Callithrix jacchus: one gene and its partner. The protein of the gene in region 2 interacts with the protein of the main gene of each other region in a biochemical or structural test. Links are inferred from orthologs where the notes say so. Each region holds a gene or a part of one and is shown on either strand. Other genes may lie near its edges. The genes, in order: EGLN1 and FKBP8.

Region 1 (16,143 bases), on a different chromosome or scaffold from region 2:
GTTTCTATCATTTGGAACAGGAATATTTACCCAATACGTGTACCCACATTGTGTCTTGGCAGTAACTACTTGCTTTTGATTTTACAGGCTCAGAGGCAGAAGGGACTTGCTTTGTCTCAGACTTTGGACTTGGACTTTTGAGTTAATGCTGGAATGAGTTAAGACTTTGGGGGACTGTTGGGAAGCCATTATGAGTTTTGAAATGTGAAAAGGACGTGAGACTTGGAAGAAGCCAGGAGTGGAATGATATGGTTTGCCCCTTTGTGCCCCCGGCAAATCTCATCTTGAATTGTAATCCTCATGTGTTGAGGGAGGCACCTGGTGGGAGGTGACTGAACTATGGGTACAGTTTCCCCATGCTGTTCTTGTGATAGTGATGAGTTCTCACAAAATCTGATGGTTTACAAGTGTTTGGCAATTCCTCCCACTGTCATGTAAGATGTGCCTTGCTTCCCCTCATCTTCCACCATGATTGTAAGTTTCCTGAGGCCTCCCTAACCATATGAAACTTTTGAGTCAATTAAACCTCTTTTGTTTATAAGTTGCCCAGTCTCAGGTAGTTTATTTCTTTTCCTTTTCTTTCTTTCTTTTTGAGATAGAGTCTCACTCTGTTGCCCAGGCTGGAGTGCAATGGCATGATCTTGGCTCACTGCAACCTCCACCTCCCAGGTTCAAGCAATTCTTCTGCCTCAGCCTCCCAAGTAGCTGGGATAACAGGCACCCACCACCATGCCCAGCTAATTTTTGTATTTTTAGTATAGAGATAGGGTTTCACCATGTTGGCCAGGATGGTCTCCAACTCCTGACCTCAGGTGACCTGCCCTCCTCAGCCTCCCAAAGTGGGTAGTTTCTTTATAGCAGTGTGAAAATGGACACAGAGAAAATTAGATGACTCTAAAACACCGTATTTTGACCATCCATTCTTAATAGGATATTTATGTAGACAAAAAAAGTGATAAAATATTAAACTACATTCAGTAATTAAACTACATTCAGTAATTAATCTTAGTAATTATGTAAAAGCCATTAGGAAACAAAATTTTTAGTACAAGTTGAGCATCTGTAATCTGGAAATTCAAAACATGAAATGCTCCAAAATCTGGAACTTTTTTTTCTTTGAGATGGAGTTTTACTCTTGTCGTCCAGGCTGGAGTGTATGGTACGATCTCAGCTCACCGCAACCTCCGCCTCCTGGGTCCAAGCGATCCTCCTGCCTCAGCCTCCTGATTAGCTAGGATTACAGGTGCATGTGACCATGCCCAGCTAATTTTTGTATTTTTAGAGGAGACAGGGTTTCACCATGTTGGTCAGGCTGGTCTTGAACTCCTGACCTCAGGTGATCTGCCTGCCTCGGCCTCCCAAAGTGCTGGGATTACAGGTGTGAGCCACCACACCTGGCCAAAAATCTGGCCTTTTTTAGGCCAATGTGACACCTCAAGTAGCATATTCTACATCTAACCTCATATGATGTGTTGTAGTCAAAACACAGGCAAAACAGTTTCATGTGCAAAATTATTGAAAATATTGTATAAAATTACCTTCAGGTTTTGTGTATAAGGTATATGTTAAGCATGCTCTAATGAAGAGACCATGTAAATAGGCTTTGTGTAAGCAACAAGTCTGTTTATTCACTCGGGTGCAAGCAGGCTGAGTCCAAAGAGATAATCAGCAGAGGGTGGTGGGATAGCAACCGGTTTTATAGGTTTGGGGTAGGCAGTGGAAAGTTACAGTTCAGGGTAGTTTTTGCAAGCCCAGGGGGTAGGGGTGGTGGTGTCACGGGGTCCAGTGTCACAAGGTTGGCTTATCAGTTGAGGCAGAAACGATGGCAGAATGTCGCAACCTTGCTTAATCAGGAACTGCAGGAGCTAGCTATCCTTCTTTTGCAGTTTTCCTGTTGCCTCAGACTTTCTGGCTCTGGGAAGTCATCTGAAGGTGTACATGCAGGTCACAGGGGTCACCATGGCTTAACTATGTTGTAGTCCATGGTGTAGTCAGTTCAAAGGACTTTACATTGTATATAAAACATAAATGAATTTTGTGTTTAGATTTGGGTCACATTCCCAAGATATCACTTTATGTATGTACAAATATTCCAAAATCTGAAAATATCTGAAACATATCTGGTCCAAAGCATTTTGGATAAAGGCTGCTCAACCTAAGAAACAGAATCAACAAATATAAAATCGAAGAAATTAAAACCCTGTAATCTTACATTTGAATTGGAAATATCCGTATGAATTCAAGATTTTTTCTCTTGAAAAATTGTCGATTTCCCAGCTCTATTAGAAGGATTCAGAAGTAATGACAACCTAGTGGCAATGAGTACACTTGATTATGGTTTCTGCCATTTCCTACTTAAAGGAACCAAGCTCTTTGGAGGAATGACTGATTCCATGTCAAGGGCAGGAAATGTACAAGATAAGTTTGGGCCATTTTGTGCCAGCAAGCAAGAAAACTATCAAAGATTAATGTGACCACGTCCACAATACATAGGAACCAATTCTATTTCTCACTGGCCAAAGGTGGGACAATTTGAGCATCAAAAAGAATAATTAATGCACTTCAAATATATAAAAATACATATATTCATGATAATTTTTTTGAGAGACTCATTAGAAGTTGCCAGGGCACTAACTCATTATTTTGAAAATTGATAAATAAAAAGAAACAGATGTGGACCCTATCTTTCATCTACAAACTGTATTTCAGGATAACCACAGAGTTAATGAAAAAAGTTATGGTAGAATTCCAGCTAATAAATTGAGGAGGAATGTTAGAATTAGAAATTCATTATTTTGCACTGGGTGAGGTGGCTCATGCCTGTAATCCCAGCACTTTGGGAGGTTGAGGCAGGTGGATCACCTGAGGTCGGGAGTTCGAGACCAGCTTGACCAACATGGAGAAACCCCATCTCCACTAAAAATACAATATTAGCCAGGCAAGGTGGAGCATGCCTGTAATCCCAGCTACTTGGGAGGCTGAGGCAGGAGAATCGCTTGAACCCAGGAGGCGGAGGTTGTGGTGAGCTGAGATCATGCCACTGCACTCCAGCCTGGGCACCAAGAGCAAAACTCTTTCTCAAAAAAAAAAAAAAAAAAAAAAAAAAAAAAAAAAAAAAAAAAAAGAAAGAAAGAAATTCATTATTTTGCAACCGCTAATGAAATACTGGATTGAGTCACAATTAATGGATGCTAAAATAATCAGGTGATGGTGGATGAAAAACATAATGTAGGAATTGGGCTGACACCACCTGAACCCATGAGCAATATTTAATCATAAAACAAAACTATCAGACATATGTACCTCATGATGTGATGTAACAGGAAATATACAGCAACTACCATGAATTATGCTCACCTAAAATTTAGAACCTCAATCTAATAAAAATCCTAGATCTGCTGGGTGTGGTGGCCCATGCCTATAATCCCAGCACTTTGGGAGGCTGAGGCTGCTGGATCATGAGGTCAGGAGTTCGAGACCATCCTGGCTAACACGGTAAAACCCAGTCTCTACTAAAAATACAAAAAATTAGCCAGGTGGTGGGTGCCTGTAGTCCAAGCTACTTGGGAGCCTGAGGCAGGAGAATCCCTTAAACCTGGGAGGTGGAGGTTGCAGTGAGCCAAGATTGCGCCACTGTACTCTATCCTGGGCGACAGAGTGAGACTCCATCTCAAAAACAGAAAATAAATAAATAAAAAATAAAATTCTAGATTTGACTACCTATTTGCTGAAATAAGAGTAGTTTCACAAGGAAGTAATCAGCTAATTCTAGAATGTGGGACATTCGGTAGTACAAATGGCCTAGTTTCTACAGTAAATCTATGATATGAAGGGTGAGACGCTGGTAAAATTGAGTAGAAGGGCCTTAAGAAACATGACAATTTGTGATGATATTAGGTGAGGCGGCGGAGGTAGAGGAAACAACTAAGTTCAATGTATGAACCTTGTTTAGATCTTGAATTGGATAAAGCAACTGTAAACAGAATATTTGAGATAATAAAAAAAACTAACATTTGTGGATGATGTATAGTGTTGCGATTTTTCTTAATTTTGTGTAATAATGGCATGGTGGATATGATTTTTGAAAGTTCTTATCAGATGTGCGTATTGAAGTTGGGATATGCTTTATAATACTTTAGCAAAAAAGTGGGGGACATAGTACGGAGAGGGTAAGGAAGAATTGTCTATCAACATATGTTGATAATTGTTGAAGCTAATAACTGATGAACTTATTAGGGCTGAGGTTGATTACGCTATTATCTCTATTTTTGTGTATGTTGAAATTTTCCTACAAGAAAATGTTACAGGGAAAAAATTATTTAGCTTTCTTCAACCTGGGTTGGTGTAGTTACTGATTGTGACTATCCTAAAAGTTGGTTCAACATTAGGGTAATGTTTGTTAGAAAAAAAAAATTAGATCAACACATTATATAGTATCCCAGGTTTTAATAAAAAAATTTGCTATAATGAGAGATGATTATAAATATTTGTTGTATTTCTGAGATGATCAATTTTAACAGGATTGGTGGTAATTTTTAAGTCGTAAACTGATAAAGTTTGATGATTGATAAATCTCCCCAAATATATACAAAATCTATTTAATTGTTTCATTTTCATAAGGGAATAACCTTGGTGGAAAGTACAGCTGTCTCCATGTACTCGGAGAAGCACATTGCTCACGTGTGCATCTGGCAGAACCCCCAGTACAGAGATGAGCAGGTGCTGTTTTCCAATGACACCTAATTGTGTGTGTCCTAATACCATAGTTAGAAAATGGCTCACATTTTTGAGTTGCTTTTCCCAGAACTCAAAGATCGTTTTCCTGTTTATCTTGGTGGAATGCCTATGCTATACTTGTGATTTTACTTTTCTCTGTAACCTAGATTGTCACAGATGGAAGAAACAGGAGGTCATTAGTTAACAATCAGATGTTTGATTTCTTGAGCAGAAAAGATACTCTGTTGTGTTTTTAAAAACATTAAGGAGAAATAGGGCTACTCCTTGGAAGGTAGATTCTGGTCACTGGGCTTTCCTCAAAAGTCAACACAGTCGTTTCTAAATCCATTTCCTCCTTCAACTCTGTTCTTGTAGCTAACCTCAGCTTTGGCTCTTAGGTCAGCTTTGCCTCTTTTAGTTCTTGTCAGTTCACAGTGGCTTAAGTAAATACTGCCAGAAGAGCAAAGGGAAGCCAAATAGGTGGTCAATTAGCTTTGTCTAAGTTGGTTTGATATGGAGATGAAAGCACTCTTACTTTAATTCATTCTTCAGTTTCTGTAACAGTTGCTCTTGGTTAGATTGGGGGCAGGAAAAACATTTGTAATAATTTCTAGCTTTGAGAGACACAAGGCTTTGCTCGCCCCAGAGTATTAGTTAACCCACCTAGTGCTCCTAAACATATAATCTTAACGACTGGAAGGGACATTCATTGTCTCACTCTCTATTTGTTTCACCTTCTGTAAAATTGGCATAATAATAGTATCTACTTCATAGCATTACATGATGATTACATTATTTAATACTTGTAAAATGCTTAGAACACAGATTGGGCACACAATATTAAGCATCGCGTATGTTTATAAAATAAATTCCTCTGTGCTGCCTTCTGGTAACATTTAAATAAGTAAATAAATAAATTAAATATATTCTTCCATGACATTCTGAAGTCTGTCTATAAGAGCTGAGTAAGTGGCCACTGGTACAATGCTACCGGAGTTCCAGAATCTGGTTGGCGACAAGATTGTTCACCAGCAAATGGTGTGGTGAAACCTCACTAATTTGGAATTCGTTCAGATTATTAAGCCTGAATAGGTGGAAATCCTGAAATCAAGGATCTTTGGAACTATTTGAAATCAGTATTTTATATTTGTCCATTCTATTTTTAAAATATTGCAAGTGTTATACTTGATGGGTTAAGTATATTTAGGATATACATGTTTAATTTGTGATTTTGTATACTTAATTGGAACAAGAAAGCTTATAAAGGTTTTGATATAGACATCTATTCTTTTAAGTAAAATTCAGTTAAAATACATGAGAAGAGCATATAGAGATGTAAATAATTTTTGGACACACCATAGATTGAAATAGTGAATTTTAAAGAAATTGTTGTAAGAATCAAGTTTCATGGAATGAGTGTTCCTAGTAAAGTTCTTGCTCTTGTGAATAATTAATAATCACTTATAATTACTGTAGTAAAAGAAGGCCCAAGAGGTATTAGACTCTACTTTTATCTGTTATACTTTACATAATTTTTGTGTATGAAAAATGTTTTAAAAGTTTTTCGTAAGCCATGAGATAGCTGCTTTACATTTTAAGAATTTCTGAATTAATTTGCTTAGATTTTATTAGTGCAAACAGCAGAGCTAGATTCTTTCTAGATTCTAACATGAAATGTGTTTCTAAACTGCTGAATCAAAACATAGGTTCAACTCTCTGAGTTGAACACACACATAGCAAAGCAGTTTCACAGATAGCTTGCTTCTGGGTTTTAAAGCCAATTCCTTTTTCTGTGTTACCATTCCATCCTATTCATCCCTCTTTTAGGAAACTCCGAACTCTGGATTGTCCTTCTTTACATATCTGCCTCCTGCATTGGACTATGTGTCTCTGAGTGTAGTATGACTAATTCATTTGTTTGTCAAGGATAGTGTAGCACATGGTACACTCCCAATTCATCTGTTGAACAGCCTAATCAGTAATGTCTGCAACAATGACATTTTACTGTATTTAATAAAGCTCTGGGAAAGTAGGATACACATAAGACAGATCCAGGTCTTAATTCTTTACAGAAATGTGGATTTTTAGTTCGGTTTGGAATTTGAAGATGTGAGTATATTTACCTCAGTTTCCCAAATGACAAGCTGATTGAATTATTATCCTCTTCCACCTGACTGGATCCCCAGAATGCCATTTACGTATGTAGCAGACTTTTATAACAGTTTTAAATTATGTATATTTGATGAAGAGGTTTTATATTTTTGGATTCAAGCTTTATTTTTTTTAAATTCTACAATGTGGTTTATAGTAATTCCATACATCCTGCTTTTGAAATACATATTGCAGCTTCTTTAAGCTTGGAAGGCTATATCTCAAGGACTGAAGTTACAGTATATTCAAGTGATACACAAGCCTAGCACCGAATTTTCCACAGTAAGTGTTCGATAAAGACTGTTAAACTCTAAGTCACAGGCCTTTTTATTCTTAAGACAAATAACAGCAGAAACATCCTTGGCTTATTTATGGAAAGGTTTTTATGCTCTATAAAACAAAGAATTGTATCCATCAGCGTAGCACAGATTCTATTAAAAATAAATGTGAGAGTCGTTAATGTAGTAGTACTGCTCACTTACTACCAAAATTAACTTTTCAGGGATAATTCCATCAGTTTAAATTGGATATTGGAATAAGCACTCATTTGACTTGGTAGCCCAATCATGGGGGTTCGAACTCGGCGGGATTTCAAAGGTTTTAAAAATGTTTTTGATTTTAACCCTCAAATTTCATAACCTTTAAATTAGGTTGAAACGGGGCACAAGAGATTGGATTAACATCACAGTAATACTTATTTTTGTTCTTAACCATTTCACGGCTTCTTGAAATAGAGGCTGGATGGAGCAATGGAAAAAACAGCCTTGGAATCTGAGCGCCTGATTGCTGGATTCAGTCCCAGTCAGTTCTGCGTGACCTTGGGCAAGTTACTTTACTTCTCTGAATTTCCGTTTCCTCCTCTACAAAATGAGGATCACAGTAGCCACCTTGTAACCCTAACCCGAGCGCGCCTCGCACAACTCGCGCCCGCCTGCAGGAAGAGCAGCCATGATTACGCCGCCGCCGCCGCCGCTCCGCCACCCGCTCGCGGCCGGCGCCCTCCCCTAGCAGGTGTAGGCGCTGCCCGCGCGGCCCCACGCCTTTCCGCCGCTCGCGGGCCGGCCCCTCTGCGTCCCCGCGCAGGCCGCTGCGGGCTGAGGCAGCTCACCGGCCTCTGCGTCCCGGCCCCGCCCCGGGTGGACGGAGGGCGGGCGACCCGGCTCTGAGGCCGAGGTCCGGCCCCGCCAAGTGCGGAGGAGCGCAGGCGGCCCAGGCGCCGCGCCAGCGCCCAAGTGTGAGCGCGGCCCCCGCCCCTCGGCCCTCCCCCCGGCCCTCCCTCCGCCCCCTCCGCCCTCGCGCGCCGCCCGCCCGGGTCGCCGCGGGGCCGTGGTGTACGTGCAGAGCGCGCAGAGCGAGTGGCGCCCGCATGCCCTGCGCTCCTCCACAGCCTGGGCCGGGCCGCCCGGGACGCTGAGGCGGCGACGGCGGCCGAGGGGGCCGGTCTTACGCTCCCCAGGCCCGCGCGCCCGAGCCCAGGTTGCCGTTCGCCGCACAGGCCACGTTTTCTCAGCCCACGGCGGCGATGAGGCGCTAAGGCGGCCACCGGCTCTGCGCCGGAGCCTAGGACTCGGAAGCGGCCGGGCCGAGGGCGCGGGGTGCCGGCCTCCCTGAGGCGAGGGTAGCGGGTGCATGGCGCAGTAACGGCCCCGATTTCTCTCCCCGCTCCCCAGCCTCGGGCGAGGCCGTCCGGCCGCCACCCCTCCTGCTCGGGCGCAGCCGCCGCCGTTGCCGCCGCCGCCGCCATGGCCAATGACAGCGGCGGACCCGGCGGGCCGAGCCCGAGCGAGCGAGACCGGCAGTACTGCGAGCTATGCGGGAAGATGGAGAACCTGCTGCGCTGCAGCCGCTGCCGCAGCTCCTTCTACTGCTGCAAGGAGCACCAGCGTCAGGACTGGAAGAAGCACAAGCTCGTGTGCCAGGGCAGCGAGGGCGCCCTCGGCCACGGAGTGGGCCCGCACCAGCACTCCGGCCCCGCGCCGCCGGCTGCAGCGCCGCCGCCCAGGTCCGGGGCCCGGGAGGCCAGGAAGGCAGCGGCGCGCCGGGACAGCGCCTCCGGGGACGCGGCCAAGGCAAAGGCAAAGGCCAAGCCCGCGGCCGACCCCGCGGCGGCCGCGTCCCCGTCTCGCGCGGCCCCCGGCGGCCAGGCCTCGGCGGTGGCAGCGGAGGCCGAGCCCGGGAAGGAGGAGCAGCCGGCCCGCTCGTCGCTGTTCCAGGAGAAGGCGAACCTGTACCCCCCGAGCAACACGCCCGGGGATGCGCTGAGCCACAGCGGCGGCCTGCGGCCCAACGGGCAGACGAAGCCCCTGCCGGCGCTGAAACTGGCGCTCGAGTACATCGTGCCCTGCATGAACAAGCACGGCATCTGTGTGGTGGACGACTTCCTCGGCAAGGAGACCGGACAGCAGATCGGCGACGAGGTGCGCGCCCTGCACGACACCGGGAAGTTCACGGACGGGCAGCTAGTCAGCCAGAAGAGTGATTCGTCCAAGGACATCCGAGGCGATAAGATCACCTGGATCGAGGGCAAGGAGCCCGGCTGCGAAACCATTGGGCTGCTCATGAGCAGCATGGACGACCTGATCCGCCACTGTAACGGGAAGCTGGGCAGCTACAAAATCAATGGCCGGACGAAAGTAAGTGTGGGCTGCGGGTTTGCGCTGGACATGCCCTTCTCGGCGGGCAGCCCCTCTCGTGACGGTAACTGCCTAGGCTGAGGAGCAGCCTTCCTCTGTATAGAAAGGACTTTGTGTATAGCACCCCGTAAGGAAGACGGACAGAATTCGGGGTAACTGTTTGATCTGGTTAGCCGCTTTGTGTCCGCTGTTTTCCACTTACTGCCAGTCCACAGACTTCTCCGGCTAATTGCATAGTTTTCTGGCTAAACGTAGGCGCTTTAACTTTGCTACTTTCTTCTTTTCTTCCATTCCACTGTTAGTCACAATTCATTCCTTAGTGGCGTTTTAGCCACCCAGTGAGGGGGTGTTAGAGTACCACCCAAAGCAAGTCCTGATGCTGCATCTGTCTTGTGTTTGCATAAGCACTTAAATTTCCTGTGCTGTCTGAATCACTCGTCACATTTTGATTGAGAGTCAAACGCTGTGTTCAGTTAAGAATTTGCCGGCTGACCACAAAAAGGTAAATTTAAGCGTTTAGTCGAAAGACTCTCCATATTCAGGAAGAGCGTGGCTACTCCCCTCCCCCTCTTATAGCTCCTACCCTCTCCCTGTTCCTACTGTTTTGAAACCCATTACAAAAAGGGAAAAGAAGTATTTCCGTTTTCGGATCTCTCTGTGTAGGTAGGCTACATTTTTAGCATTGGTTTCCTTTATTTGCTTTGTTAATGTTATCCTTCTGTTGAAAAAGAACTGTTTTGTAGCTTCCTGGAAAAAACAACACGAAATTGGAGCAGGAGGACTTGTTTTATCCTCCCAATTTGGTGAGATCTTTTTGTTTTCTCTTTACTGTTGCGTTTTTTTCTCCACAGATTTCTTCACTTCCTACCTAGTCTATTTTCTCTTTTTCTCCCTCACGGTGCACTCTTTCTTCCTTAATACTCTCTTGCAGGTCTTATTCATTTTGCTTCTCAGATCTTGATCTTTTCTTTATATCCAGCTACTCCCAGGCCTCCCTCCTCCACCATCAGTCTCTGTCTGATTTTGTGAGTTTTGAGAGATGGACTTGGGAGAGCATCACACTTACATGTTTGTACACACATGCTGACTCTTCCCAGTGGTTTTTTTGGAGTGTGTGTGAGACCATCTGTTTTGACAGTCATTACATGTGATTCTCAGGCTGCTCGGAAGGCTGAACATAGGCAATGAGAAAAATTATAAACATGAAAATTTTGTGGGGAAAAATACAATGTGGAGTCTCATTTACGTATTGCCACTTCATTGCTGGGTGAAGGCACACATCTTAATTTCATGTAGTCTTACGAACAGTTGAATCATATTAAACTGGAAGGAAAAGGGGGATCTGATGAAATCTCAGCCTTGGTCTTTTACTAGCTTTTCATTGATACTTTTAAAAATGAACGTTGTCATGGAACACATCTGAACATAAGTCCTGAGCTCAGAGCAGGAAAGAAATTAGTTTGAGGGAACAGGGCTGTGAAGACTGACCAAAGTATATAGTTGGGACATAAGTTTAAATTGGATTCTTGAAGATGATGTCCCAAATCTTTCTTGATCTGCTTTCCTTAGTTAATTTAGCTTTCCAAGTCCTTTCACCTGTCATTCTTAGATAAGGGACAGCAGACAGCCTGGCTCTGAGAGCAGTTGCTTCTGGTAGGGATGCTATTAGAAAATAGCTACTGCCTTCCTCAAGAGTTCTAGTATTTGGGGTTTTAAGTCACCTAACTGTACCTAGTAACAGGTAATAAGGGACTGGATGAAGAAGGGATGGCCTTTAAACTCTTTGGATTTGATCTTATGCTTATATTAATTTTAGAGACACAACTTCAGGATCTATAAATGATATTCAGGAATTCCTTTAATTGTACTTCTTGGCTGAAAGAGGTTTTGGTAATTGTGTTTGAACATGTAAGTATTCCTGAAAAAACAAGGTTGTTTGCTTGGTGGAAATGAGAAGGCAATCAAAATACCACCCACTGTATATTGAGCAACCGCAGTGTGTTAGGCATCAGATTAGGGTCAATGCAGGTACAATCAGAGTAATTTTTTTTTTTTTTTTTTGAAGCAGGGGCTTCCTTTGTTGCCCAGGCTGGAGTACAAGGCTATAAGCATGGCCCACTGCAGCTTCCACTTCCTGGGCTCCAGCGATCCTACCACCTCAGCTTCGAAGTAGCTGGGACTGTAGGCACAGCTTGACTGTGCTGTGCTAGACCAAATGAAAAACATTTTTTTTGTAGGGTCAGGGTCTTGCTGATCATTTGATCTTGAACTCCTGGGCTCAGGTGATCCTCCTGCCTGGACCTCCCAAAGTGCTGTAGTTACAGACTTGAGCCACCTCTTGTGGCCACAATAATCTTTATGCAGTGGGTAGTGTTATTCGTAATTTACATTTGAGTGATTTTCAGCTCAGACTTGGCAGAGGTCTACCACTTATAGTAACCTAGCAGGTGTTCAGGCTTAAGTCATTCAGCTATCGAACTTAAGCTTTTTTTTTTTTTTTTTAACTACACTAGTTATAGGTAGAACATTAAATGAGATGTAGCTTACACACTGTTGGAACTGCAATTTGATATATATTTTTTGTTGAAAGGGGGTGAATAGTACTAGCTTTATATGTGAATAATCATACTCTATGGTTGGGCTCTAAAACTTTTTATTAGGTGACTGTGCAATGTTTATTTCAGATAGTGGCTGAAAAATCCACTTTTGTATATATCCACTTGAATTATGCACCTGTTGGTATAAGTGTTAAGAGATGTCAGAATATGGTTTTTGTATGTGATTGCAGAGGGAGACTTCAGTTTAGAATTTTATTATTCTTCGTAACATGATAGTGATTTTAAAAGTTCTGTGCAGCAGATGTGTAGTATTTTTCTCATGTCAGCTTTCAAAGCAGTAGGTAGGTGGTTGTATCTCTTTTTATAGATTAGAAAAGTGGGACTCAGGAAAGTTAGTTCACACGTTGGAAATTCTGCAGCATATTAGGCCTTAAATTCAGATTTTCTGACTAAGAATCTGATGTTCTTTTTTATTTACATCTATATTGCATGTTCTTTATGTCAGGGCCTGGAAATCAGATGATACATGATTGGCTGTGGCCCATTCAGTGTAGGCTTTGTTTTCCCCTGAATTTCTACTTCAGACATCCTTATCTGGCCACTGTTTATGCAACTACTTTAAAAAAAGGAACCACAGGGGAAAAATGAAGTAATACAGGAGAAAAACAAATGTAATTGTAGTCACTGATGTAACCAAGCTCCTGTTTCCACTTTCTCTGGTCTTTTTGGGATTTTCCCCTTTTTGCCCTTACCCTGCCCTTTGATCCTGTGTCTTGCTCATGCTTGTTTTCATTAAGAAGACTCAGTGATACCCAGTAGAAAGAAACCATGGTCTGCTGGTTTGTGATGAGCAGTGTGCCTTGACTTGGGGGGTATAGGATGAAGAGAAATTCAGAGGACTGAGGATCATGGGAAAGTGTTGAACTTTTCCGTTGGAGTATCCTAGGTACTCTGAAGGAAAACATTTTCCCATTAAAATAGAAGTGCTAAAATTGTATACATAACATTTTTGGAATTTAAACCAAAACTTCATCTGTTCCATTAAAACATATGTAAAGAAAAGGAGTAATAAAATAGGTTGGGACCAATAAGCAGCAGATTATATTACTAAGATTTTTCACTGTTACTGTAGTTAATTAGTTAGCTCTGGCTGATTATGGCTTTTAGAGCAAAGAATAGGATGAGGAAAATGCTGCTGCTTTATTATCACTAACAAAGGTGTGGTGACAATCCTCTTAGATGTTAAAAACAAAACTGACCTAGGAAGAGAGCCCTCACCAGTACCAGACCATACAGGCATCCTGATCTCAGACTTTCAGCCTCTAGAACTGTGAGAAAATGAACTTATGTTATTTAAACCTAAATAAATAAACCTTAATCTATTTCTGCCATTCTCTTTATATGCTTGGGATCCAGGATACACAAATGGAAGTTACTTGTTTAGTGATTTTTATAGCTATGTCAGAATTTAAGTACAAAGTAAGTTATTCTGTATGCAGAAAGACTGAAAATACTACAACTGCAGTAATTCTGCCAGCTATAAGGGACATGTGGACTGAGAGGGTAGTCTTAATAGGTTGTGATCAACTATGTGCGAAAACATTTTGTATAGTGAGTTGATGTGTAGTTTACATGTAAACTAACTCCTTTAGTTGTAAAGCAATTATATTTTACATTTAAAGATTTTTTTCAGGCTGGGCTCAGTGGCTCACACCTATAAATCCCATCATTTTGAGGGGCTGAGGCAGGAGGATTGCTTGAGCCCAGGAGTTCAAGACCAGTGTGGGCAAATGGTGAGACCTTGTTTCTAAAAAAAAAAAAAAAATTTGGCGTGTATGCCCATGGTCCCAGGTACACGGAAGGCTGGATGAAGTGGCTGGATTGCCTGAGCCCAGGTGATAGAATGAAACCCTGTCTCAAAAAAAAAAATTTTTTTATGGCATGTTTGCAACTCTTATCTACTATCTAATAATCCACAAAAATACCCACAATGCCTTAATTATGTGGAGAAGGAGAAGATAAGAGAGATCATCTTAACTTTGAAAGATAATGTATTCTGGGCTGCATGTGGTAACTCACTTCTATAATTCCCAACACTCTGGGAGGCTAAGGTGGGAAGATCGCTTGAGTCCAGAAATCCGAGACCTCATCATTGTTTAAAAAAACATTATTAAGAAAGAAAGTGGATTTGGTTCTGCCATTAAATCTGGGTTGGATCCTGAGTTTGCTATGGTTTCTGTCCTTATCCAGCTTCTTAATCTCTGAGTCCTTAGTTCCTCTGTTTATAAAATGGTGTGAAGTGATACCTGTCTTTTTAGCTTCTCGGGATTGTTGTGAGGTAAGCATATGATGTTTCATGTAAAGTACTTTTTAGATGGTAAAGTGCTTTGCAGAACTGTTCTTAACTATTACTCCTTCCATTTTAGAAATTTCTTGTCTTTCTGATTCTTTCTTTCAAGAGCTCTGTGCTTTCCCTGTCTCATCCCACTCCCATAAACTGGAGAAAAAAGGGCTTAGAATGATCATCCTTTTTTTTTTTTTTTTTTTTTAACCTAACCACTTTTCCTGCATTCACACCTATTTTTTTTTTTTTTTAAAGAGAAGAAATAACATTTTTTTAAGGGAAAAAATAAGTCCCAGAGAGGTGAAGTAACTTGTTCTAAGTCATAGAGCTGCTGACAAAATCAACAGACATTTGATTCAGTTCATTCATATCTGTAACTTTATGCTGTATTTCATGTAACAATGACATATTTCTACTTAGCTAATTTTGGTATATTTTATGCCTTTTTTTCTTTTTTTTGACAGGTTCTCACTTGCACCAGGCTGGAGTGCAGAGGTGCAGTCATGGCTCACTGCAGCCTCAAGCCCCTGGGCTCAAGTAGTCCTGCTTCAGCTGGGACTGCAGGCATGTGCCACCACACCAGTATAATTTCTTAAATTTTTTGCTTTAGAACTATTGGCCTCAAATAATCCTCCTGCCATGGTCTCCCAAAGTTCTGGCTCACGCCTATAATCCTAGCACTTTGGGAAGACAAGGTGGGAAGATTGCTTGAGCTCAGGAGTTCCAGACCAGGGAGCAACATGGTGAAACCCATCTCTAAAAAAAATTCAAAAATTAACCAGGTATGGTTAACCAGGTATGGTAGCACATGGCTATAGTTGCAGCTTCTTGAGGGACTGAGGAGGGAGAATCACTTGACCCTAGTAGGTGGAGGTTGCAGTGAGCTCTGATTACACCACTGCACTTCATCCAGCCTGGGTAACAGCAAGAAACTGTCTCAAAATCAAACAAACAAACAAAGCAAAGTGCTGGGATTACAGGTATGAACTATCGCACTGAGCCTCTGCCATCTTTGAGAATATGCTTGAACATTCAAGACTTTCTTCTCTGTTTTGCTTCTGTCATTCTACACATTGGCTTATCTGACATTCTAGTTTAAGTTTTTCTCCTTTACATAATACCTATTTAACTTCCTTCGATATTCTTTATCCATCTGTCTTTCCTCTGATATTTAAAGCCATTTGCCCTGAAGTAGGCCTTCCCTCTCTTGTTTCTTTAGTAGGGGCTGTCTTCCCACTCTGTTTCTGATTTACAGTTTACTCTGTTTTCCTTTCCCTTTTTTTCCTCATCAGGCTTGAAATCTATCTTTGTTCTTCTTCCATGTTTTCTGAAGCCTGCGCCTTTATGGTATCAGCTTAGTTGTTTAATTTTTCACTTTAGGCCTTTAAAGCGACACCAACGATTTCAGTCTCCCTTTCATTCTAGCACATTCTTGGACAGTTTCTGTTACTTAAGATTTTACTGTTGTGCTTACATTCTCCCTTCTTTTCCACTATGCCCTCGTTTCCACACTTGGAACACTGTCTGTGACTACATGATGGCATTCAGATAATTTACTAGTTTTATTTATGAAGAGCTTGGACAGTATCTGTAGCCTGTCTTTGCTTGTTGAGAGCACCATAAAGTTTTCATGAGTTTGGAATTCTTATTTTTCTTATTCAGTGTCCCAGGTCCTATTTCTTTACCAAAGCAAAATAGGAGTACTCCTTATCCATTGTTGTAGTCTCTGAGTCCTGTTTTG
Region 2 (16,173 bases):
AACCCTGTCTCTACTAAAAATACAAAAATTAGCTGGGCACGGTGGCATGCACCTGTGTCCCACCTACTCAGGAGGCTGAGGCAGGAGAACTGCCTGAACCCAGGAGGTGAAGGTTGCAGTGAGCCGAGATCGCGCCATTGCACTCCAGCCTGGGTAACAAGAGTGAAACTCCGTCTCAATAAATAAATAAATAAATAAAATTAATAATTGCAAGTAATAATTATTAGTGATTGAGATTCTATACAGTGTGTATGTTATGAATTACACGTGTAACTTCTCTGGGTCTCTGTTAATTGCAAGTCTGTGTAATCACAGCCTCTACCTCTGAAGACTGTTGAGAGCTTAGAAGATAAACACACAAGTTCTTGGGCACATGAAAGACTGTTTCAGAGCCCTGGAATTGCACGTATCTGAGTTTTCATTCCAGCTGTGACACATCCTAGCTGGATGGCCTTGGGCAAGTGGCTTAACGATATGAACTCATGCAGGCAAAAATCCTTACAGCCAGGCTTGGTACACAGTAAGCCGGCAGTAAACTGTTGATAATATCACTCCCAGGTTCTGCTGCCTGGAAAGTCAATGACCAGGAGGTAGAGGCTGGAGGATTCCTTTAACCCAAGAGTTCAAGGCCAGCCTGGGAAACAGTGAGATTTTGTTTCTAAAAAAAATACAAAAAAAAATTAACTGGGTGTGGTGGTGCACATCTGTAATCCCAGGTGCTTGGAGGCTGAGGCGGAAGAATTGCCTTATACCAGGAAGTTAAGGCTGCAGTAAGCCAGGATCATACCACTGTACTCCAGGCTGGGTAATAGAGGGACACCCTGTCTCAAAAAAAAGAAAAAGAGGCCGGGCGCGGTGGCTCATGCCTATAATCCCAGAACTTTGGGAGGCCGAGGTAGGTGAATCACAAGGTCAAGAGATTGAGACCATCCTGGTCAACATGGTGAAACCCCATCTCTACTAAAAATACAAAAAATTAGCTGGGCACGGTGGCGTGTGCCTGTAATCCCAGCTACTTAGGAGGCAGGAGAATTGCCTGAACCCAGGAGGCGGAGATTGCAGTGAGCTGAGATCGCGCCATTGCACTCCAGCCTGGGTAACAAGAGAAAAAAACTCCTTCCCCCCAAAAAAGAAAAAGATAGAGGTCAATGATGACTAGAATTCTTAATATTCAGTTCAACAATTGTTTTTTGGGTTCTGTTTTGTTTTGTTTTATTTTTTGAGACAGACTCTCACTCTGTCACCCAGCCTGGAGTGCAGCGGCACGATCTTGGCTCATTGTAACCTCTGCCTTCCAGGTTCAAGCGATTTTTCTGCCTTGGCCTCCTGAGTACCTGGGACTACAGGCATGTGCCGCCATACCCGGCTAATTTTTTGTTTGTTTGTGTGTGCGTTTTGAGATGGAGTCTCACTCTGTCGCCAGGCTGGAGTGCAGTGGCGAAATCTTGGCTCACTGCAACCTCTGCTTCCTGTGTTCAAGCGATTCTCCTGTCTGAGCCTCCTGGGTAGCTGGGACTACAGGCGCGCACCACCACGCCCAACTAATTTTTGTTTTTTTGTTTGTTTTTTGTTTTGAGACAGAGTTTCGCTCTTGTTACCCAGGCTGGAGTGCAATGGCGCGATCTTGGCTCAACGCAACCTCCGCCTCCTGGGTTCAAGCAATTCTCCTGCCCCAGCCTCCCGAGTAGCTGGGACTACAGGTGCGCACCGGCATGCCCAGCTAATTTTTGTATTTTTAGTAGAGACGGTGTTTCACCTTGTTGACCAGGATGGTCTTGATCTCTTGACCTCGTGATCCACCCGTCCCGGCCTCCCAAAGTGCTGGGATTATAGGTGTGAGTCACCTCGCCCAGCCTAATTTTTGTATTTTTAGTAGAGACGGGGTTTCACTATATTGGCCAGGCTGGTCTCAAACTCCTGACCTCATGATCCGCCCTCTTCTGTCTCCCAAAGTGCTAGGGTTACAGGCATGAGCAACCGTACCTGGCCTTTTTTTTTTTTTTTTTTTTGAGATGGAGTGTCGCTCTTGTTGCCCAGGCTAGAGTGCAATGGTGCAATCTTGGCTCACTGCAACCTCGCCTCCCCAGTTCAAGCCTCCTGCCTCAGCCTCCTGAGTTCCTGGAATTAGAGGCATGTGCTGCTACGCCCAGCTAATTTTTGGGGGTTTTTTTTAGTAGAGATGGGGTTTCTCCATGTTGGTCAGGCTGGTCTCGAACTCCTGACCTCAGGTGATCCTTCCGCCTCGGCCTCCTAAAGTGCTGGGATTACAGGCGTGAACCACCACACCCAGCCCACTAATATTTTATTATTATTTGTAGAGGTGGAGTTTCACTGTGTTGCCCAGGTTGGTCTCAAACTCTGAGCCTCAAGGGATTCTTCTGCCTCAGCCTCGCACAGTGTGAGGATTACAAGTGTGAGCCACCACTCCAGCCTTCATTTTGCACATAGTACTGGTCATAGTTGCAATTTAAATACCTACCTGCGTCATTGTTTGGTTAATATCCAGCTCCCCTGGCTGGACTAGAAGCTCAGTGGGGGCCGGGTGCAGTGACTCACATCTGTAATCCCAGCACTTTGGGAGGCTGAGGCGGGCAGATCACGAGGTCAGGAGTTCGAGACCAGGCTCGCCAACATGGTGAAACCCTGTCTCTACGAAAAATACAAAAATTAGCCAGGTGTGGTGGTGGTTGACTGTAATCGCAGCTATTTAGGAGACAGAGGCAGGGGAATCACTTGAATCTGGGAGGCGGAGTTTGCAGTAAGCTGAAACCGACCTGGGCAACAGAGCAAGACTGCACCTCAAAAAATAAAAATAAAATAAAATAAAATGAAGATAAAGAGAGTCTTATCAATCCTGACGAAGGCAATAAAGGAGAAAGGAGGATGGAGCAGGTAAGAAAGAGAAAAACCACCTCAGAAGGCAGATTTATGTCTAGGCATGTCCGTCATCACGTTAGATACCAATAGACCAAACGCCCCAGTTAAAAAAGAAAGATGGAGCCGGGAGTGGTGACTCATGCCTGTAATTCCAGCACTTTGCGAGGCTACGGTGAGAGGACAGCTTGAGCCCAGGAGTTCAAGAACAGCCTGAGCAACATCGCAAGACTCCATCTCTACAAACAATAAAAATTTAAAAAGTAGCTGGGTATGGTGGTACACAGCAGTAGTCGAAGCTACTGGGGAGGCTGACCTGGGAGGATTGTTTGAGCTTGGGTGGTTGAGGCGGCAGTGAGTCACCGCACTCAACTGCATGTACCACTGCACTCCAGCCTGGGCCACACAGCTAGACCCCATGTCAGAAAGAAAGAAAGAAAACACGGCTGGGTGAGGTGGCTCACGCCTGCAATCCCCACACTTTGAGAGGCCAAGACAGGTGGATCACCTGAGGTCAGTAGTTCGAGACCAGCCTGGCCAACATGGTGAAATTCCCCTTCTCTACTAAAAATACAAAAATTAGCCAGGTGTGGTGGTAGGTGCCTGTGGTCCCAGCTACTCAGAAGGCTGAGGCAGGAGAATCGTTTGAACCCAAGAGGCAGAGGCTATAGTGAGCAAGACTCCATCTCAAAAACTTTAAAAGAAAGTTTTGGGCTGGGCGCGGTGCTCACACCTGTAATCCCAGCACTCTGGGAGGCCGAGGCGGGTGGATCATGAGGTCAAGAGATCGAGACCATCCTGGTCAACATGGTGAAACCCCGTCTCTACTAAAAATACAAAAAATTAGCTGGGCACGGTGGTGCGTGCCTGTAATCCCAGCTACTCAGGAGGCTGAGGCAGGAGAATTGCCTGAACCCAGGAGGCGGAGGTTGCGGTGAGCCGAGATCGCGCCATTGCACTCCAGCCTGGGTAACGAGAGCGAAAACTCCGTCTCAAAAAAAAAAAAAAAAGAAAGTTTCAGTTCACCAAGAAGACACAACAACTGCAACACTTCATGCAGCCAATGATGTGGCCTCCAAGTAGAGTATTTGTTGTTGTTTTTGAGATTGAGTCTTGCTTTGTCCTCCAGGCTGGAGTGCAGTGGTGCCATCTCGGCTCACCGCAACCTCCGCCTCCCGGGTTCAGGCAATTCTTCCGCCTCAGCCTCCCAAGTAGCTGGGACTACAGGCGCCCGCCACCACATCTGGCTGATCTTTGTATTTTTAGTAGAGATGGGCCATGTTGGCCAGGCTGGTCTCCAACTCCTGACCTCAGGTGATCCGCCCACTTGGCCTCCCAAAGTGCTGGGATTACAAGTGCGAGCCCCTGCGCCTGGCCGAGTATTTGTTTTATAAGGGAAGAGTAAATATAGGTAAAATGTTTGCCTGCAAATACCTGTTCAATGAGTGCTAGCCATTATTATTATTGTCGGTGGTATTATTTTGTAGTTTATTTTAGTAGCTCATTGTTTATTTATAATAGTAATTCTTCTTCTTTTTTTTTTTTTTTTTTTTGAGACGGAGTTTCACTCTTGTTACCCAGGCTGGAGTGCAATGGTGCGATCTCGTCTCACCACAACCTCCGCCTCCGGGGTTCAGGCAAATCTCCTGCCTCCGCCTCCCAAGCAGCTGGGACTACAGGCATGCACCACCATGCCCAGCTAATTTTTTGTATTTTTAGTAGAGACGGGGTTTCACCATGTTGACCAGGATGGTATCGATCTCTTGACCTCGTGATCCACACGCCTCGGCCTCCCAAAGTGCTGGGATTACAGGCTTGAGCCACCGCACCTGGCCTGGTAATTACTATTCTTATTTTAGAAACAGTGTCTTGCCTTGTTGCTCAGGATGCAGTTCAGATCCTGGATCATAACTTACTGTGGCCTTGACCTCCTGGGTAAGGGATGCCTCACACCTCAGCCTCCCATTTAGCTGGAATTACATTTTTAAATTTTCTGTAGAGGCTGAGCATGGTGGCTCCTGCCTGTAATTCCAGCACTTTGGGAGGCTGAGGCGGGCAGATCACGAGGTCAGGAGTTCAAAACCAGCCTAACATGATAAAACCCCGTCTCTACAAAAAATACAAAAGAAAATTAGCTGGGCATGGTGTTGTACACCTGTAATCCCAGCTACTCAGGAGGCTGAGGAAGGAGAATTGCTTGAACCTGGAAGGCAGAGGTTGCAGTGAGCCCAGAGAGCTTCACTGCACTCTATGTGAAAGCCAGAGGGAGACCATATCTTCAAATAAGTAAGTAAATATTCTGTAGAGGAAGGCTCTCACTTTGTCACCCAGGCTGGAGAGCAGTGGCGTGACCTTGGCTCACCACAACCTCCACCTGCTGGGTTCAAGTAATTTTCCTGCCTCAGCCTCCCGAGTAGCTGGGACTACAGGTACACACCATCACGCCAGGCTAATTTTTGCATTTTTAATAGAGATGAGGTTTTGCCACGTTGGCCAGGCTCGTCTTGAATTGACCTCAGGTGATCCACCCACTTTGGCCTCCCAGAGTACTGGGATTACAGGTGTGGGCCACTGTGCCCAGCCCCCTAGGTGATTTCTTTCTTTCTTTTTTTGAGATGGAGTTTCGCTCTTGTTACCCAGGCTGGAGTGCAATGGCGCGATCTCGTCTCACCGCAACCTCCACCTTCTGGGTTCAAGCAATTCTCCTGCCTCAGCCTCCTGAGTAGCTGGGACTACAGGCATGCGCCACCATGCCCAGCTAATTTTTTTGTATTTTTAGTAGAGACGGGGTTTCACCACATTGACCAGGATGGTCTCGGTCTCTTGACCTCGTGATCCACCCGCCTCAGCCTCCCAAAGTGCTGGGATTACAGGTGTGAGCCACCGCGCCTGGCCCTAGGTGATTTCTTACATAGCTCTGCTGTGTTACCACCTTTTCTGGTCGTCTAGCCTCCCTTCCTTCCTTCCTCAGTGACTTCCCTGAGACTCCACTGCTACCTTTTGTGCCAGGCACTGTGCAAGCCTCAGAGCAAAGCGTTCCCAGGCTTTAGGGCTCTTCCAGTGTAGCGGGCAAGGCAGAGGTCGGCAAGGCAGAGGTCAGCAAGGCAGTGGCTCACACCTGTAATCCCAACACTTTAGAGGACTGCTCGAGCTCAGGAGTTTTAGACCAGTCTGGGAAACATAGGGAAACCCCATCTCTACAAAAAATATAAATATTAGCTGTACATGATGGTGCACCTGTTGTCCCAGCTTCTCAGAAGGCTGAGGCAGGAGGATCGCTTGAGCCCAGGAGGTTGAGCTGAGATTGAGTGATCTGAGATTGTGCCACTGCACTTCAGCCTGGGTTTCAAAGTAAGGCCCTGTCAAAAAAAAAAAAAAGAAAAGAAAAGAAAAAAAAAAGTCAGTGATACAGGTAAACTAGTTTGGGAGGCCAAGGGGGATGGATCATGAGGTCAGGAGTGCGAGACCATCCTGGCCAACATGGTGAAACCCTGCCTCTAAAAATACAAAAACTAGCTGTGTGTGGTGGTGTGCACCTGTAGTCCCAGCTACTCGGGAGGCTGAGGCAGGAGAATTGCTTGAACCCGGGAAGCAGAGGTTGCAGTGAGCTGAGATTGCACCACTGCACTCCAGCCTGGTGACAGCGAGACTCTGTCTCAAAATAAATAAATAAAAATAAATAAACTAGTTATGAAGTGGAGGTTCATCGACTTCATTTTGCCAAGACAGCCAAATGAGGCCCCTGGTCTTGCCTTGGAGAGGTCTGGGAGGGCTTCCTGTAGGAGGCCACCTAGGAACTCCAATCTGAGAGGTTATCTCCAAAAAGCTGGTTACCACCTCCATGATAGGTACCTCCCAAAGCCAGTGTCTGACTCATTCATTCATCCATCCATCCATCCACCCACCCATCCATTCATCCATCCATTTATTGAGCTATAGATGCCAGGCATGGTTCAGGGAGGTGCTAGGTACAAAACAAGCAAAAATCTCTGTCAGATGGAGTAGAGTGGGAGGTGCCCCCTCCAAACACAGGCAAAAAAAGCGACAAGATAATTCTGGATGGGACTAACTGCTAGAAAGGAAAAAAAACTGAGTGAAGGTGGGAGAAGTGCCCCGGTTTCAAAACAAGATCTACAAAAACTTAGCTAATCAAAGGTGCTGCCTTCTCCCTGGGCTGTGGGCATCTTATCATCCTTCAGCAGAGTGCGTGGGGGATGAACTCTTCCCAGTGGCCCTGCGGGCTCAGTCGCCTGCCCTGCCGTAATTAAGCGCCTCCTGTATGCACCACACAACCTTCTGGACATTAAACTGGGTGGGGGATGGGAGGGAGGTTTCTGTATGCCCTCGGGCACGTCACTCCCCCTCAGAACCTCAGGTCCTCTTCTGTAACTAGGGCTTCAGGATGGGTCATCAGTAACCCCAGAGCTGCCCTAACGGAACTCTTTAAGGAAATAGCATTTAGTGCTGTCCCCCAACAGCCCCCAAGGTGAGAGTGCATAGATGGGGGTGTTTATCCCCATTTCGCAGATGATCAGGATGAAGCTCAGAGGAGAGCGGGGAGTCGCACATGCTGCACGACTCTGACTCGTGCTGAGGTCCAGCCCGGGGTTTCCTGCCCCCGCCCAAAGCGGCCCGGAGGCTCGGGTCCCTTTAAGAACGTCCCGCGGAGCCAAGCAGGAAGGGGGAGGTGCCAACGCCCGGGACGGATGTCTGCACGAGCCAATGGGCGCGGCAGTCGCGGCAACGGCAGCCAATGGGCATGGCAGGGGCGGGGCCGAGCGGCTGAACCTGGTTCCCGAGGCGCGGCGGCCGCGGCTGGGGGCGGGGAGGGGGGCGCAGGACCCCAGGCGGGGGTCCCGGAGCCAGAGGCAAGTGTCCTGCGGCGCCGGGGGCGCCTTGTCGGCTGGGGCGCTGCCCTGGCCTGGGCTGGTCCGGGGGCCAGCGCGCAGCGGGCTGCGGCCGATGGGCGGGGCGAGGCGCCGCGGGGGCGGCGAGCCTGGGGGCACACGGGGGTCGCGGGTGCCCGAGGGGGCAAGGCAGGCCTGGGGTGTCCGTTATAGGGGTCATGGCGGCGAAGGGAAATCCCATGGGGGTTTCCCTACGCAGGCGTGCAGGGCCAGGGGCGCCCGAGGCGTGCGGGGGTCGGGTGCCCCAGACTGGTGGCGTCAGACAGGCGTGGGGCGTTGGGGGCCTGGGTCGGCGCTTGAAGCAGGGCCCGGCCGGGCTGTGGGGCGTCAGGAGGGCGTGGGGTGTTATGGGATCGAGAAGGGGGGGCGTCTGGGGACACTAGAGTGTTTACGGAGCGACGGAGCGGCTGTGGGGAGAGCTGACCCGGGCTGGGGGCGGTGGTAGTTGGGGCGGGGGTGGGGGGTGGGAGGGGAGGCCGAATTGTGCGGGCGCGGGGGATTATGGGGGTGGGGGCTGGGAGGGTCTCAGAAAGTGGGGCCCGCGCCCGGGAGGAGCAGGCAGGTGAGGGGTGAGGAGGGGATGCTGTGGGCTGGTTTGATGGCTGTGCTACTCTTCTGAGCTTGGGGCCTGAGGGCCAGAGGGTTAGGTTGTTGGTTCAGGAGGCCTGGGGCAAGGAAGAGGCTGTAGAACGAGGTGGGACCTCGACCACTCCTGGAAAGGAGGCTGCTTTGAGGGGATAGGACCGAGGCCTGTGAAGGGGAGGATGCATTCGTCCTAGGGGAGGGTTTGGACCAGGGCCCCTGATGTTGGGGTTGTGGGGATAGTTTTAGATTGAGAGCGTAAAAGGAAAAATAATCAGGGTTTCTGGGTGATTACTGTTGGTGGTCTTGGGAAATGTCTCTTGTTTGGAGAAGAGGCTGGAGGTGGGAGGCCCTAGTAAAAGGTTCAATTCCCTCAGTGGCCCCAGAGGCTCTAAAAATGGCTTCCCTAAGTCCTCAAAAGCTGTCCTCTCCACAAAAATCCCAGCACCCCTGACTTAGCATATAATCAGGCAAAGCCACAGGGCCTGAAGCCCCAGGTTCAAATCTTCCCTTGGCCATTGGCTTTCTCTGTGACCTTGGGTAAATGGCTTTGCCCCTGTGGCCTGTTTCCTGTTCAGTAAAATGTTGACGGGAATGTTCCCTACTTCCTGGAGTATTTGTAAACGTTAAATAATAATTAGCTCTAATAATGGCTAACACTGTTTGAGCCTGATGCCAAAGGCTTGATGCCTGGGTTAATTTCTCCCAACAAGCTGGGGTGGTTGTTCTACCCACTGTACAGGTGAGGAAACTGAGGCTGGGAGTCCCTGAGTTACACAGAAAGTGATTGGCAGTGTGGGAAATGGGTACAGTGGGGACTTTGAGGGACTGTGTAGGAGTCTTACCCACATCTCTGCCCCCCCCCACCACTTCCAGGGCCAGTTCCCGTCCCCCCAGCAGCATGGCGTCCTGTGCTGAACCCTCTGAGCCCTCTGCCCCGCCACCTGCGGGGGTCCCACCGCTTGAGGACTTTGAGGTGCTGGATGGGGTTGAGGATGCTGAGGGGGAGGAGGAAGAGGAGGAGGAAGAGGAGGAGGAAGATGACCTGAGTGAGCTGCCACCGCTGGAGGACATGGGACAGCCCCTGGCGGAGGAAGCTGAGCAGCCTGGGGCCCTGGCCCGAGAGTTCCTGGCTGCCATGGAGCCCGAGCCTGCCCCGGCCCCAGCCCCGGAAGAGTGGCTGGACATTCTGGGTAAGGAGCAAGGGTGGATTGGGGTGACCTTGGCCCTGGCCCTCTCGTCCCCTGAGCCCCATTTCCTCATCTGTGCTGTGAGGGTTGGAAGTCATGTGGTCACCACCATGATCGCCAGCCAGAGGCAACTACTGGAGATGCTTCATGGTGATGTACCTCATTCATTGACTCACACAGGTGCACAACATACCGTGTCCCTGTTTCCCAGATCTGCCAACTGTGGCTCAGAGAGGCTGAGTCACCTGCCCAGAGCCACACAGCCAGCACACCAGGCGCTGGCAGCTCCTAACCCTATTACTGCATCTTTTTTTGGTGTTTGTGTGACACAGGCTTGTACTCTGAAAAATGTGTCCTAGGCCAGGTATGGTGGCTCACGCCTATAATCCCAGCACTTTGGGAGGCCGAGGCAGGTAGATCACAAGGTCAAGAGATCGAGACTATCCTGGTCAACATGGTGAAACCCCGTCTCTACTAAAGACACAAAAAATGAGCTGGGCACGGTGGTGCGTGCCTGTACTCCCAACTACTTAGGAGGCTGAGGCAGAAGAATCGCTTGAACCTGGGAGGTGGATGTAGCGGTGAGCTGAGATCGTGCCATTGCACTCCAGCCTGGGCAACAAGAGCGAAACTCCATCTCAAAAAAAAAAATAAAATGTGTCCTGGGTGCTTGCCAGTCTGTGCAACACAGCAAGACCCCACCTCCAAAAACAAAATTGTGTCCTGGGGTCAAGTAGATCAGCCTTCTGGTGGGTTCACAGTACTCCTAATATTGTAAATGCTCAGAGAAATCCTACAGGAAGAAAACTAGGGGAACTCACACATGTTCTGCCTAGCATACCCCATCACAGCAACTGAAAACAAGGGAAATGTTAGTATTCTGTGGAAGTCGTCTCGCCGGTGGTATAGTACACCAAATAACGCTGGTGCCTATGCAAATAAGATGTCATTACCACTATTAATTGTACAAAAAATACCGTAGCAATACCATCCAATCACACTGACACTGATGAAACAGTAATATTACTAAATATCACTACCGCTACTGATAAAAATCGTACTACTACTTTTTTTTTTTTGAGATGGAGTTTTGCTGTCACTCAGGCTGGAAGCTGTGGTACGATGTCAGCTCACTGTAACCTCTGCCTTCCAGGTTTAAGTGATTCTCCTGCCTCAGCTTCTCAAGTAGCTGGGATTACTGGCTCCCACCACTGAACCTGGCTCATTTTTTTTGTTTATTTTTATTTTTTTTTGAGATGGAATCTTATTCTGTGTCCAGGCTGGAGTGCAGTGGCACAATCTAGGCTCACTACAACTTCCACCTCCCAGGTTCCAGCAATTCTTCTGCCTCAGCCTCCCAACTGCCTGGGATTTCAGGTGTGTACCACCATGCCCAGCTCATTTTTGTATTTTTAGTAGAGATGGAGTTTCACCATGTTGGCCAGGATGGGCTTGATCTCTTGACCTCGTCATCTGCCCGCCTCAGCCTCCGAGGTGGGATTATAGGCGAGAGCCACTATGCCTGGACTGTTTTTCTGCATTTTTAGCAGAGATGGGGTTTCACCATGTTGGCCAGGTTGGTTTTGAACTCCTGACCTGAAGTGATCCACCCCCTTTGGCCTCCCAAAGTGCTGGGATTACAGGTGTGAGCCACCATGCCTGGCCAAAAATCTTATTACTTCTGAAAATAGCACGACTGCCATTGCTCTCCAGCCTGGCTGACAGAGCAAGACTTTCCTAAAAAAATAAAAATAACACCAGGTAATATTTCCTGAGCACTGATTTTTGTGCCAGGCCTATATATCATTTCATTTCATCCTTGCAACAACACTGTGGACCGGGCACCGTGGCTCACACCTGTAATCCCAGCTCTTTTGGAGGCTGAGGCAGCGGATCACCTGAAGTTGGGAATTGGAGGCCAACATGGTGAAACCCCGTCTCTGCTAAAAATGTAAAACTTAGCTGTGGGTGGTGACACCTGTAGCCCAGCTACTTGGGAGGCTGAGGCAGGAGAATCGCTTGAACTCAGGAGGCGGGGGTTGCAATGAACTGGTTGTGCCATTGCACTTCAGCCTGGGTGACAGCAAGCAAACAAAAGCAACAAACAGGCAGGGCATGGGTGTCTCATGCCTGTAATCCCAGCACTTTGGGAGGCCGAGGCAGGTGGATTGCTTGAGGTCAGGAGTTCGAGACCAGCCTGGCCAACATGGTGAAACCCCGTCTCTAAAAAAAAAAACACACACACACACACACACACAGAAAAACAAATAAACAAACAAAACCACCGTGTTGTAATTTCTACTATATCCCCACTTTACAGATGGCAAAGGGTAGGCTCAGAGAGGCGAAGGTGCTTGCCCGAGGTCACACAGCCTCCCTGGCCATGTTAGCGATTGGCAAGCTGTTCTTTCCTCCTGATACTGTAAGAGCTGAGCTGCCCACACCCACTGGGAGCATGAGGTTGGCACTGTGTTTATAATTGTGCCAGCCGTTTTTTGAGGTCAGAATGGGGGCTTCTGTTTCTCAGGCAAGGAAACTGAACTCTTTTTTTCTTTGGGGGGGGTGGAGTCTCGCTCTGTCACCTAGGCTGGAGTGCAGTGGCACAATCTTGGCTCACTGCAGCCTCGGCCTCCTGGGTTCATGCAATTCTCCTGCCTCAGCCTCCCGAGTAGCTGGGACTACAGGCATGCGCCTCCGTGCCCGGCTAATTTTTGTATCTTTAGTAGATACACGATTTCACCATGTTGGTCAGACTGGTCTCAAACTCCTGACCTCAAGTGATCCATTCGCCTTGGCTGGGATTACAGGTGTAAGCCACTATGCCTAGCTGGAAACTGAACTCTTGAGAGGAGACATGATTTTCCCAGAGGCCATCTGATTGAGAGGCAGCCATTAGTGCCTGCAAACCTCGAGACACAGGTCCATTGGGATCCCCTAACTTGGTGGTTTCCAGATGAGTTAAGGGACTTGTACAAGGTGGGAGTAGCACAGAAATTTGGAATATTCTAGAATATTCCAGAACATAAGTGGATGATATACCCCTGCCGCTAACCTTTAGGCCAGAGTTCACTCAGACTCATGAAATACTCTAGGCCAGGCCATGAGTGGTAGCTCATGCCTATAACCCTAGCACTTTGGGAGGTGGGTGGATCCCCTGAGGTCAGGAGTTCAAGACCAGCCTGGCCAACATGGCAAAACCCTGTCTCTACTAAAAATACAATAAAATATAGGCATGGTGGTGCACACCTATAATCCCAGCTACTTGGGAGGCTGAGGCAGGAAAATCGCTTGAACCCAGGAGGTGGAGATTGCAATGAACCAAGATTGTGCCATTGCACTGCAGCCTGGGCAACAAGAATGAAACTCTGTGTCAAAAAAAAAAAAAAAAGAAAGAAATACTCTAGGCCAGTGGTGTATTACAGAACTCAGGTAAACGTGGGAACAGGAGGGACGGCAGAGCACCTCAGACCCACGTAGCCCTTGCTTTGCTAAGATAGTGTTTTGTGGACACCTTGGTAGCACTGCAAAGAAGGGCAGGGCTGTGTGTCCCCGGCCGGGTTATCTACCCCCTGCACCTCCATTTCCTGCTTTGACGGGGTGGTGCTGGCAGCAGTCACTCCAGTGCTTTTCTGGGACGATGGGGGGATCGTCACTGTGGGGTTATCTGGGCGTGTTTGTGAGGGTATTGGCTATGGTCATTCCTGTGATTGCTGGGGGCACGAGAGGCAGCCTTTGTTTATAAGCTGTTCAGCTCTGTTTGACTTTATTTTTTGTTTGTTTGTTTTTTAAGATGGGGTTTCACCATGATGGCCAGGCTGGTCTTGGACTCCTGACATCAGGTGATCCACCCACCTCGGCCTCCCAAAGTGCTAAGATTACGGGTGTCAGCCACTGCACCTGGCTATTTTTTTTTTTTGAGACAGTCTCGCTCTGTCACCCAGGCTGGAGTGTAGTGGCACAATCTCAGCTGACTGCAACCTCTGCCTCCCAGGTTCGAGTAATTGTCTGCCTCATCCTCCCGATTAGCTGGGATTAAAAGTGCCCACCACCATGCCCAGCTAATTTATTTATAAATTTATTTATTATTTTATTTTTTTAGAGACAGGGTCTCCCTCTGTTGCCCAGGCTGGAGCATAGTGGCTATTCACAGGCATGATCCCACTACTGATCAGCACGGGATTTTTGACCTGCTCCGTTTCCTACCTGGGCCAGTTCGTCCCTCCTTCTGGTGGTCCCCAACTTTTTGTATTTTTAGTAGAGACAAGGTTTCACCATCTTGACCACGGTGGTGTTGAACTCCTGACCTCAGGTGATCTGCCTGCCATGGCCTCCCAAAGTGCTGGAATTACAGGTGTGAGCCACTGTGCCCAGCCCTCAATTTTCTTTAAAAAAAAAAAAGGCCAGGCGAGGTGGCTCATGCCTATAATCCCAGCACTTTGGGAGGCCGAGGCAGGTAGATCACAAGGTCAAGAGATCGAGACCATCCTGGTCAACATGGTGAAACCCCGTCTCTACTAAAAATACAGAAATTAGCTGGGCATGGTGGTGCGCACCTGTAGTCCCAGCTACTCAGGAGGCTGAGGCAGGAGAATTGCTTGAACCCAGGAGAGGGAGGTTGCAGTGAGCCGAGATCGTGCCATTGCTGTCCAGTCTGGATAACAACAGTGAAACTCCGTCTCAAAAAAAAAAAAGAAAACTGGGCACAGTGGCTCCCGCTTGTAATCCCAGCACGTTGGGAGGCCAAGGTGGGTGGATCACAAGATCAGGAGTTCGAGACCAAGCCTGGTCAACATAGTGAAACCCCATCTCTTTTTATTTATTTATGTATTTTCTTGGAAATTCTTTTGGGGGCTTTGCGGCCAAAACTGGAAAGCCTGCTAGACAAATTCTAAAAGAGCTGTAACACTAACCCCGTCTCTTAAAAAAAAAAAAAAAAAAAAAAGCCAGACCAACCATTGTTCGCTGTCTTGGTCCCTGGCACCAGCACGGTCACCCCGAAGTGTGTCCCATCCTGTTCAGTGTCCCACACATGAAGTCCCTGACTCTGGTGGCAGAGTGGCTGTTGGAGGTTTGGTTTGTGCCCCGGTGTTGGGCCAGAAACAGAGGTTCCTATCCACTCTCTGTGCCAGAAACTTGCAGCTCCAGATAGCATCAGACTCAGAACATTCTAGAATATCCCAGAAAATGGGTGGGTCTCCAACTGCCCCTAATCTAGGGCCTGTTGCAGATTCATGGTCTATCCCAGACCAGTGGAGTGTTGTAGAATGCAGATGGATGTGGGGACAGGGGTGACCGCACACAGGGCCAGTCCACTCCCCGTGGGTTAGGCCCTCGCTTGTTTAAGGCACCGCGTTGTAGATTCTTTGGGAGAGCCCCAGGAAAGCACAGCCTTTGGTCCAAGGTTAAAGTTGGGGAAACCGAGGCCAGAGAAGCCTGCATTCCCCTGGGACAGCCAGTGGGCAGAGCTCAGGGTGGGGCTCGGGAGCGGGTGCCTGTTTGAGCTGCCCGGTGACAAGCTGCATGTCCCTGGCCCCTGGCAGGAAATGGGCTGTTGAGGAAGAAGACGCTGGTCCCAGGGCCACCAGGTTCGAGCCACCCAGTCAAGGGCCAGGTGGTCACCGTGCATCTGCAGACGTCGCTGGAGAACGGCACGCGGGTGCAGGAGGAGCCGGAGCTGGTGTTCACCCTGGGTGACTGCGACGTCATCCAGGTGCGGGCTGGGGCGGGACAGGGCAGGGGCAAGGGGCGCACCTTGCTGGGCCTGGGCCTGCCTGACCGCTGGCTGTCCCCACACCCCCCAGGCCCTGGATCTCAGTGTCCCACTCATGGATGTGGGGGAGACGGCCATGGTTACTGCTGACTCCAAGTACTGCTACGGCCCACAAGGCAGGTGAGAGCCGGCCACCCTTAGGGTCTCAGCAGGGGATGGGTAGAGTGGGTGTACCCCTCAGCCTACCCTGTCTACCTGCCCATTTTATAGAAGGAGAAACAGGCTGGGTGAGGTGGCTCACACCTGAAATCCCAGCACTTTGGGAAGTTGAGGTAGGATTGCTTGAGGCCCGCTTTTCCAGACTAGCCTAAGCAATATAGACCCCATCTCCATACAAAAAAATTTAAAAATTACTTGGGTGTAGTGCTAAAAATTAGCTGGGTGTGGTGCATGCCTGTAGTCCCAGCTACTGAGGAGGCTCAGGCAGGAGGATCACTTGAGCCCAGGATTTCAAGGCTGCAGTGAGCCAAGACTGTGCCACCGTACTCCAGCCTGGGCAAGACAGTGAGACCCTTCCCTTTAAAAAGAGGAAAGCAGAGGCTTAGGGAGGGGAACTCACTCATCAGGTCCCATCGCTCCAAGGCGGCAAGTCACTTATGCTGCACTTTACTGAGGAGGGAGTGACAGAGGGCGGAGGATGATAGATCTGGGACTTGAGCCAACCCAGCAGGTTTGGGGATCACCAGGTCTGAGTGCAGCCCTGCCTGCCCCCACCCCACTAGCAGGAGCCCATACATCCCCCCGCACGCGGCCCTGTGCCTGGAGGTGACCCTGAAGACAGCTGTGGATGGGCCTGACCTGGAGATGCTAACGGGGCAGGAGCGCGTGGCCCTGGCCAACCGGAAGCGGG

Evidence for each region.
Region 1: the proteins of FKBP8 (region 2) and EGLN1 form a complex in vitro, tested with the Homo sapiens proteins (2 studies listed by BioGRID, with this or other methods). The link is inferred for Callithrix jacchus from reciprocal best matches to the Homo sapiens genes FKBP8 and EGLN1.

The regions. Positions count from the first base shown.
Region 1 is NC_133520.1:53,456,400-53,472,542, forward strand, and holds the start of EGLN1 (egl nine homolog 1), read left to right. Parts: upstream 1-8,198; 5' UTR 8,199-8,609; coding exon 8,610-9,500; intron 9,501-16,143. UniProt on the Homo sapiens protein: Cellular oxygen sensor that catalyzes, under normoxic conditions, the post-translational formation of 4-hydroxyproline in hypoxia-inducible factor (HIF) alpha proteins.
Region 2 is NC_133523.1:17,250,228-17,266,400, reverse strand, and holds the start of FKBP8 (peptidyl-prolyl cis-trans isomerase FKBP8), read left to right. Parts: upstream 1-7,654; 5' UTR 7,655-7,836; coding exon 7,837-7,910; intron 7,911-8,162; exon of another isoform or gene 8,163-8,343; intron 8,344-9,239; coding exon 9,240-9,556; intron 9,557-14,399; exon of another isoform or gene 14,400-14,461; intron 14,462-15,093; coding exon 15,094-15,263; intron 15,264-15,354; coding exon 15,355-15,443; intron 15,444-16,045; coding exon 16,046-16,173. UniProt on the Homo sapiens protein: Constitutively inactive PPiase, which becomes active when bound to calmodulin and calcium. Seems to act as a chaperone for BCL2, targets it to the mitochondria and modulates its phosphorylation state.